Macaca fascicularis: one gene and its partner. The main gene of each other region encodes a partner of the protein of the gene in region 2 in a complex. Links are inferred from orthologs where the notes say so. Each region holds a gene or a part of one and is shown on either strand. Other genes may lie near its edges. The genes, in order: ACTL6B and SMARCC2.

Region 1 (4,349 bases), on a different chromosome or scaffold from region 2:
GTGTATATTGCCTGTCTCAGTCCTGATTAACATACATAGTAATAAAAATGTAAATCTTGGGCTGGGCACAGTGACTCATGCCTGTAATCCCAGCACTTTGTAAGCTGAGGTAGAAGGATCGCTTAAGCACGGGAGTTTGAAGCCAGCCTGGGCAATATAATGAGACCCCATCTCTACAAAAGATTCTCTTAAAATTATTTCTAACTTAAAAAGAGTGTAAATACTGAATATTGATTTCTTTCAAAGTCTAAAACACAACTGGGCTGGGTGCAGTGGATCCCACCTGTAATCCCAGCATTTTGGGTGGACGACGTGGGCGGATCGCTTGAGCCCAGGAATTCAAGACCAGCCTGGAAAACATGGTGAAACCCTGTCTCTACAAAAAATTTAAAAATCAGCTGGGCGTGGTGGCTCATGCCTGTAGTTCCAGCTACTCCGGAGGCTGAAATGAGAGGATCACTTGAGCCCAGGAGACCAAGGCTGCAGAATTGTGCCACTGCAATCCAACTTGGGTGATAAACTGAGCGGAGCCCCTGTTTTTGAGACAAAATCTCAAAAACAAATAACAAACAACAACAACAAAAACAACAACAACAAAACCCACTGTACTTAAAGGAGGGTAATAGAAATATGTTGTGGCATAGGCTGGGGAGGAAAAAAGAGCTAAGTGATCATTTTCTAGAGTGGAAAATTCATTGATAATATCTAAAACTAAAAACTCCACAGGCAGCAATTTAAGTGTAATATTAGAGATATGGAAGAAAATACCCCCAAAATTAGCTAAAAAGGAGAAAAACAGTTGCTTCTATAAAGAGGAATCTATAAGGATATGGGTAAGAACATTTTTAAAAATGCAGTTTAAAAATTTTTTTAATTGTTATTGTTTTGATAAAAGAGATGGGTCTTGCCATATTGCCCAGGGTGGTCTCGAACTCCTGGGCTCAAGTGATCCTCTCGCCTTGGCTTCCCAAAGTGCTGGGATTACAGGTGTGAGCCCACATCCCCAGCTCACCAATGTTGACCAAAATAATAATAAGTTAAAAGGTCTAAAAAGTACTTGGAGGCTGGGCATGGTGGCTCATGCCTGTAATCCCAACACTTTGGGAGACCAAGGCGGGTGGATCACCTGAGGTCAGGAGTTCGAGACCAGCCTGGCCAACATGGCAAAACCCCATTTCTACTAAAAATACAAAAAGTTAGCCAGGCATGATGGCAGGTGCCTGTAATCCTAGCTACTCGGGAGGCTGAGGCAGGAGAATCCCTTGAACTCGGGAGGCAGAGGCTGAGATCTCACCATTGCACTCCAGCCTGGGTGACAGAGTGAGACTCTGTGTCAAAAAAAAAAAAAATTTAAAAAGGACTTGGAGATGGAGAAGGGCAGCAGAGTAGATAGAACAAGAAGAGAGCAGGAGGGATGGAGACTTAGGAAGGAAGGAAAGTGGTTGGGATGGGTGAGGGGAGTCTGAAAAGGGAAGGGAAGTGGCTGACATCGGTGGCTTGAGGGGAGAGGAGGAGAGGTGGATGGTGGGAAGCAGGTGCAGTGGAGATTGGGGTTGGACATGGGAAGGCAGGAGGCACTCACCGGGGCCTCGGACATGAGCACGGGGTGCAAGTTTGGCTCAGACTTGACGTGTTTGCTGTAGGTATGATCCAGGATGGCTCGGAAGCACTCCCAGTCCTCGACTGGGGCCAGAAGAACAGAGTGGAGAAAGGCAAGAGGGCAGGCAGGGGTCAGGGACAGGAAGAAAAGGAGGGAGAAAGGCCAAGCCCAAAGGAGGGTCAGTGAGTCCAGGCCCAGGGGAACATCCCCCCTTCCCAGAAACCTGCTGGGCCCCTGGGAAGGGAACCCAGCGAGAAGAACCCTGGCAGCGAGAAGAACCCTGGGGCTGCAAGGAAGACTCCTTGGGGAGTGGGGGCTGCTATGTCCCAGCGTGGGGAGTGGGCTCCCTATCTGTCAGGAGGTGATGGGTGGGGGCCCCTTACTCATGCCATTCTTGAGGGGCGACATGACCTCCGCTCCATCCCGAGGCACGTGCAGGGCATTGGTGTCGATGTGGAAGATCTTCCCTTTCTTCTCTTTGTCCCCCTCCAGCTCCAGCCCGCCCCCCTCCTCCGCGGCCAGCAGCCCCACCGTGGTGGGGAAATCAGCCTGGTGGGGAAGGGTTGGGGGAGGATCGGCAGGAGAGGGGTCACCCTCTTGCCCCTGTCCAGCCCCACGGCAGGGTCCTCAGCCCGCCCCTGGGTTTATTCCCACATTCCCGCTCAGCAGAGCTTCTGGGCGATCTGGGAGAGCCCTGGGTCACTGGAAAGCCTGAAGAAGGGTCCGGAGCCCCTAGGATTTAGAGAGGAGACTGGAAGGCTCACCTTGGGACAGTCCTCCCCAGCGTACCCAGCGCGGACTGAGAAGGAGCCAATGTCAAAGACCAGCGCCCCCACCTCATCTGTGAGGGGAGACAGGCCTGTAAGGGGACCTCCCCCGAAGTTTTTCCCGCTAGGTAGTTCCGAGAGAAAGTCAGGGCAGAGCCACAGACTCGCCACCTTCAACACCAGTCTGGAGCCGGTGGGAACTGGGCCTGGAGTCTGAGGTCCTGGGACTGGGGGTGGGGGCATCATACCGCCAGGGTCCCTTCTTGCCCACTGGCCTTGCTCAGGCCACCCTCCCGACGGGAAAGGAAGGGGCCGGGGCCAGGTGGAGGTGGGTTGTAAGGTAGAGAGGTTCGGCCCGGTGCGCACGAGAACGGAGCGCAGGGGAGGCGGGAACCCGAGCCTGAGACTGGACCAGTTCATGCGCGGAGGTGACAGGCCCCGGGGTGCCCAGAGCTCGGATGGATGGCGCGGGTTCGGAACGCAGGGGGCCGGAGGCTCGCTCACCTCCGCCGTAGACGCCCCCGCTCATAGTGCCCTCTGCGCTGCTAGCGGCCCGTGGGCGGCGGCGGGATCAGCACCGAGGCGGCCGGACAGCTCCCGGGATCCCTGGCGGGGCGGGGCGCGCGGCGACCAATTGGGAGGCCGGATCCCCCGCCCCCAACGGCGCCGCCGATTGGCTGCCAGGCGAGACAATGACCGGACCGGGGGCCGCGGATTTAAAGGGGAAGATACCCTCCGTTAGGCGACCAGGAGGAGATGGGGCAGGGGGCGCCTAGCAGGGACTTAGAGACCGTCGCTAAGGAACGGGCGGCAGAGAGGAGAGCAGGGCAGAGGCGGAGACCAAGACTCTGCAGGACGACTGATGAGGTCCCTACCCCCTTGCTTTTTGTTTTTATTAAATTTTTTGGTGGAAACGGAGGTCTTCTTACGTTGCCCAGGCTGGTCTCGAACTCCAGAGCTCAAGCGATCCTCCTCAGCCTCCCAGATAGCAGGGATTACAGGCAGGTGCCAGCACACCTGGCAAATTAAAAAAATTTTTTTTATGGAGACAGGGTCTTGCTCAGGTTGATCTTGAACTCCTGGCCTCAAGCGATCCTCCCACCTCAGCCTCTCAAAGTGCTATGCCCGACCTCTACCCCCTTACTTTTTAAAGCAAGACTGGGGAGAGAGCTCCACTCCCCAGAAGGGTCATCTGTCTTCAGGCTGCTCTGAGCCCGGTTCTGCCACACCCAGGCCTAAATGGAATTGCCGGGAGAGGGAGGGAAGGGAAGATTAAGAGAGGGACCAGAGGGGGTGGGGGTGTGTCTCCATCTCTCTCTGTTTTTTTCTTTGTTTGTTGTTTTTTTTTTAGAGACTGGCTGGTCTTGAACTCCTGGCCTCAATGTCCCAAAGTGCTGGGATTAAAAGCATGAGCCACCGTGTCCAACTTCCCTCCTTTGTCTTTCGCTGGCCCCTCTTTTCCTTGCTTTGCTCCACCCCTACCCCCACCACCCCAGTACCTGGGCGTTATACATGTGTACACATGCTTACGCACATATACATACGTTCACACACAGCCCACCTGGCTTTAGCTTCTTTTCTCCATCTCTCTCTCTCTTCAGCGCCTATTTTCCTAAGGAGGCATTTATCAACAAGAGGGTTTTTGTTTCTTTTATTTTTGAATTGGGGTCTTCCGTCACCCAGGTTAGAGTGCAGTGGCACGCTCACAGGTCACCGTAACTTTGAACTCCTGGGTTCAAGTGATCCTCTCGCCTCAGCCTTCTGAGTAGCTGGGACTTACAGGTGCACACCACCACACCTGGTTTTTTTTGTTTGTTTGCTTGTTTTAGAGAAGGGCCCTCACTATGTTGCCCAGTCTGGTCTCTAACTCCTGACCTCAAGCGATCCTCCCACCTTGGCTTCCTGAGTCATTGGGATTACAGGTGTCAGCTGCAGCACCGGACTAACAACAGGGTTTTCTACTACTTGGATCCCAGGTTCTT
Region 2 (4,529 bases):
GCTGGGATTACAGGCGTGAGCCACCGTACCCAGCTCAAAGCTGAAATTCTTTAACCCTTGTGCCATTGCATCATGTGGCCTGCAAGAGGGGAGTGAAAGAAACCAATATACAGAAAGCACCACCTTGTGCTAACACTTTACTGGATTATCTCAGGTGCCATTATAGAAACCCTACAAGGTAGGTTTACTAATCCCATCTAGAGATGAAGGAACCAAGACTCATGAATGCTGCCCAAGATCACACAGCCATCAAGTAGCAAAGCCAGGATTTGAACACAAGCCCACACAAATCCAAATCTCAAGTCCGCTTTTAACCATGCCATGAGAGACTTGTGGACTGATCCCAGGCACTCTGAAATAATTTGTTGCACAAAGTATTACTAAGACAAAAAGAATGGTAAACTGGAGACTAGGCCAAGCCAATAATGCCCTGACCAGGGATAGGGATGGTAGAAAATAACCCAAATTTCAAAAATTACAAAATTCACAAATCTTTTTTTAAAATACAACTCTCCAGTTTGGTGGACTCACCACCACCACCCCCCGCCCTCTCTCCTACTTCTGCACTCACCGGCAGTTTAGTGAGCGGTGCATTGCTGACATGTTTGCCAAAAACTTCTTCCTGAAATTGTAGTAACTGTACAACCAGGCTAGACAGGGACTTGTTGGTGGGTGGTTCAGCTTGTATATACTAACGGAAAAGAGGGAAAGGAAAGAAAAATAGATCTCAGATAAATTGTCCACTATCTTCCACATTTCTCCCCCAGGGGCTCTGGAAGTATCTGGAGCAAAGAAAACAGTGCCTTTCTCCCTATTTAGTCTCTATAAAGAAAATGGCAAAAGGGAGGCTCTGGACATCCCAACCAGGAAGCTGAAATTCTGCTGTCACCAGCCCAGATGGCCAGTGTTGGGGAGAACAGGGAAGCTTACTACTCTTCCTCAGCTACACTCTGAAATTAGAGTTGCAGGACCCTATTATCTTGGCACCTCATCCTCAACCAACAGCACTGAGGGTTGTTAAAATTCTGGAGGTTTATAGAGTTCAGATCATGGAAGCAATACCTTTGGAGCTCTAAGAGAGACATTTCTTAGGGGAACTCTGTGTAAAGCCATGATTCCCCCTATAATGTAGCCTAACAAGAAAAGGTACAAGGAAGTGAAGGAGGGCAAGCTGACTGAGAGTGAGCCTGTGCATTTTGCTCCTGAAGACTGGGTATAAAGGTCTTCATAAGCCCTCCTAGACAGGAAGGGCCTCACCAGCCTGATGGAGAAGAGCAAGAAAACATCTACCCTGTCTGAGGAAACTGTATCCGAGACAAGTAACCCTGGCTCTACCTCAATATTTCCACACTTCGCTACCTAGTAGCATCCTAGCCTTCCATTATAATTTGAACCTGAGCCAGGAGACTTTCTTTTTACCTTTTGACCCGTTTTCTCCCCCCTCATCACAAAGAAGACAGCGCCTCTCAGTGAGAGGTGAAGAGAGATAGATCTGTGAAGGGAAAGGTAAATGACAAAGAGCTAAGAGCACGGAAGCTGAACCAGGTCACAGTTGTCAATCCCCACCAAGGCCGGAGGCTCAGCCCCTAGCTTGATCTCCCTGCAAAAGGTCAAAGCAAGAGCCTCTCACAGGCATAGAAACAAGCCATAGAAATAGCAGCTATTTGTCAAGATTCTGACACCCAGAGAGACCCCAAGGGCAGGGCCAGGCTCATAATCAGGATCAGTAGGAAGTTCTCCTAAGCCACTAAGCACACTTCTGACGAGCTGCAAAGCCGGCAGGAAGAAATGGGGAGCTGAAAGAAAGCCACAAAGAGAACCCCTCTCTGAGGGTAGTGAGAAAAAGAGAGGCAGACTATTTCCAGGGAAAACCAGGCCTAGAGACAAAGACGACACCACGAAGAGGTCTAGTAGAAAAGACAGGTAAGGATTCTTAAACCCTTTGTTCACTACCTTATGATCGCCAGTTATGGGGTTTAGGGGTGAGGGGCTAGAGATAGAACGCTCACCCTAACCTCTTGACCCCAAACCCACGGTACTGCAAAGCTAGGTTGCAGGGTGACTTCACTGCAAAATCGAGGAAAGGTTTTGGAAGGGGTCGCTACCCAGGAACTCCTATACCCCAGCTCCCTGAGAGATTCTGTTGCCTCTTAGATGAAGGTGGGGGATGAGCGGCGGAGACAGGTGATCCCTGGGTGGGGACCTTTTTCAAGCTGATGAGCAGCCAACGGCTTGCTCTGTGACTGTTTACCCTCCTGCTTTCCATCCTCTCTCTGAACATACACAAAGCACCGGGGAGGCCTCAGCCCCACCGGTACCCGGCTCCATGGGGAGCTCTGGCGGGCACGTTCCGGGTTGCGGGGGAACCCATTGGGCACCCGGTCCACACCCGGCCGGCCGCCTCTCCCAGAAGAGCCAGGAGGGCGATGGCTGAGGGGAAGGTGGGCTAATGGCACCGGGGCCTGCCGGGCAGTAGAGAAAAACAAGGGGCAGAGGGCGCAGCAGTGGGGGCGGGGGCTAGGCTCGGAGGCTAGGGGTGCGGGGAGAGGGAGGCTGGGGGAGGGGCGCGGGCGCGCGGGAGGGCGCGCGGGGGGCTGCTCCGAAGGCCGCAGGGGAGGGGCTGGGGCGCCTGGAGGGTGGGCAGGATCCCGGAGCTGCAGGGCCGCGGTCCCTTTGTCCCGCCCCCGGTCCCCGCGCGGCCCGGCCCGGCCCGCGTACCTTCTTGTAGTTCTTGCCGAGCCACAGCCGCACGTTGTCGAACTGGGTCACGGTGTCCGCGGCCTCGTAGTACTTCACGTTGGGGCCGCCGTCCTTCTTCCGCACCGCCATCTTCTCGGGCTCGGGCCCCGCCGCCGCCCGCCCCACTCAGCTCAGCTCCCGCCTCCTCCGCCTCCTCCTCCGCCCGCCTCCCGCCGCCTCCCGCCGCCGCGGCCGCCGCCTCCCGCCGCCTGGGCCGGCCCCGGTCCGCGCTGCGCCCCCTGCCGGCAGGCCGGGCGCGGCGGAGGAGCTCCAGGCGCAGGCCGACCCTGGTGGCCTACCCGGCAGCGGCGGCGGGAGCCTCCGGGGAGAAGGACTCTTCCTGGAGGGGGCGCCATTCTCCTGAGATCCCTCTTACCAGACGCGAAGCCCTTCCCTCTTTTTGCCTCAGCCCGTTAGTGTCACCTCGCTATCCCACTCCAGGCGGCCGCCAGTCGCTGGAGCAGCCCCAACCCGTTGCCCCGAGTGGCCCTCACCTTGCGCATTCCTAATCCGACGGAGCCCCTCGTCCCCCAAAACCCCAAAACCCTTTCCCCAAGAAGTTCCTTCCTTCCATCCATTCCCAGCATCTCCCCATTTAAACTTTTCTGAGTCTCCCTCACCCCTCGCGCTTGTCCACCCAGCAACCCCTTCACTTGTTAACCCAAAAGTCCCCTAGCCGCCACCTTGGGGACCCAGTGCCTTCCTCAACTGCTTCCTCCGCTGGCCTCGCTGTCGCCTCCTAAGTAGGTGTGAGCTCCTTGAGACTCCGACTCTTCGCTAGGCAGGAGACCCTCCTTCCCTGGGTCACCCGGTCCATCCGACTCTTTTTCTCTGGGTGGCGTAGATAGGAGGTAAGGAACCAAGGGGTGGGGAGTCCTCAGGTGAGTGCGCGTCGAGGCCGGTACCCTGCTTCCGGTTCCCGCATGTAGTCCCCGATTGCAGTGCGGACCCCTTCTGTAAGCGCGCGGCAAAATGCGGTTTTGGAAGTCACGGTGGCCGAGTGGTTAAGGCGTTGGACTCGAAATCCAATGGGGTTTCCCCGCACAGGTTCGAATCCTGTTCGTGACGGCTTTTTTTTTTTCTTTCTTTCTTATTATTAAGACGGAGTCTCGCTCTGTTGCTCAGGCTGGAGTGCAGTGGCGCGATTTCGGCTCACCGCAGCCTCCACTTCCCGGGTTCAAGCAATTCTCCTGCCTTAGCCTCCCGAGTAGCTGGGACCACAGGCATGCGCCACCACACTTTTTGCGTTTTTAGTAGAGACGGGTTCACCGTATTGGCTAGGCTGGTCTCAAACTCCCGACTTCAGGTTATCTGCCAGCCTCGGCCTCCCAAAGTGCTGGGATTACAGGCGTGAGCACCGCGCCCGGCCTGACGGCGACTTTTTAAATCCCACTTCACAACACGTAAAGGTAACCCCAGTTCTCACAAGTGTCTTTCGTGCACTTTCTCTCTCCAAAAGGAAGCCGCCAACAGGTCTTACCCCTGTATTTGGGAGAATGGGAATGATCTTGGGAAGCTTAATTATGTACGACTGTGTTGGCTGCTAGACTGTGAGGCATTTTCAGAATTTTATAACTTCAGGCTTGCTGGGAGAGCTTTGGCACATGTCTCATTCTTTTGAGGGCATAGGGAAGGATTTGGTTGAAGGGTTACATTTTGTCTGGGAATGTGAGTGGCTGTTTTGCAATATTAGTCAAACCTAGAGTTTCCTCTAAATTTCATGACCAGAAGTCACACCTTGTAGGTCTAATTACACCGAAGACCCAGGAAACAGGGGATTCTCTCATCTG

Evidence for each region.
Region 1: SMARCC2 (region 2) and ACTL6B share a complex: the UniProt entries of both Homo sapiens proteins name them as parts of the BAF complex. The link is inferred for Macaca fascicularis from reciprocal best matches to the Homo sapiens genes SMARCC2 and ACTL6B.

The regions. Positions count from the first base shown.
Region 1 is NC_088377.1:49,244,077-49,248,425, forward strand, and holds the start of ACTL6B (actin-like protein 6B), read right to left. Parts: upstream 2,979-4,349; 5' UTR 2,897-2,978; coding exon 2,872-2,896; intron 2,442-2,871; coding exon 2,365-2,441; intron 2,333-2,364; exon of another isoform or gene 2,150-2,332; coding exon 1,984-2,149; intron 1,684-1,983; coding exon 1,583-1,683; intron 1-1,582. UniProt on the Homo sapiens protein: Involved in transcriptional activation and repression of select genes by chromatin remodeling (alteration of DNA-nucleosome topology).
Region 2 is NC_088385.1:62,975,230-62,979,758, forward strand, and holds the start of SMARCC2 (SWI/SNF complex subunit SMARCC2), read right to left. Parts: upstream 2,855-4,529; 5' UTR 2,830-2,854; coding exon 2,719-2,829; intron 692-2,718; coding exon 572-691; intron 1-571. UniProt on the Homo sapiens protein: Involved in transcriptional activation and repression of select genes by chromatin remodeling (alteration of DNA-nucleosome topology).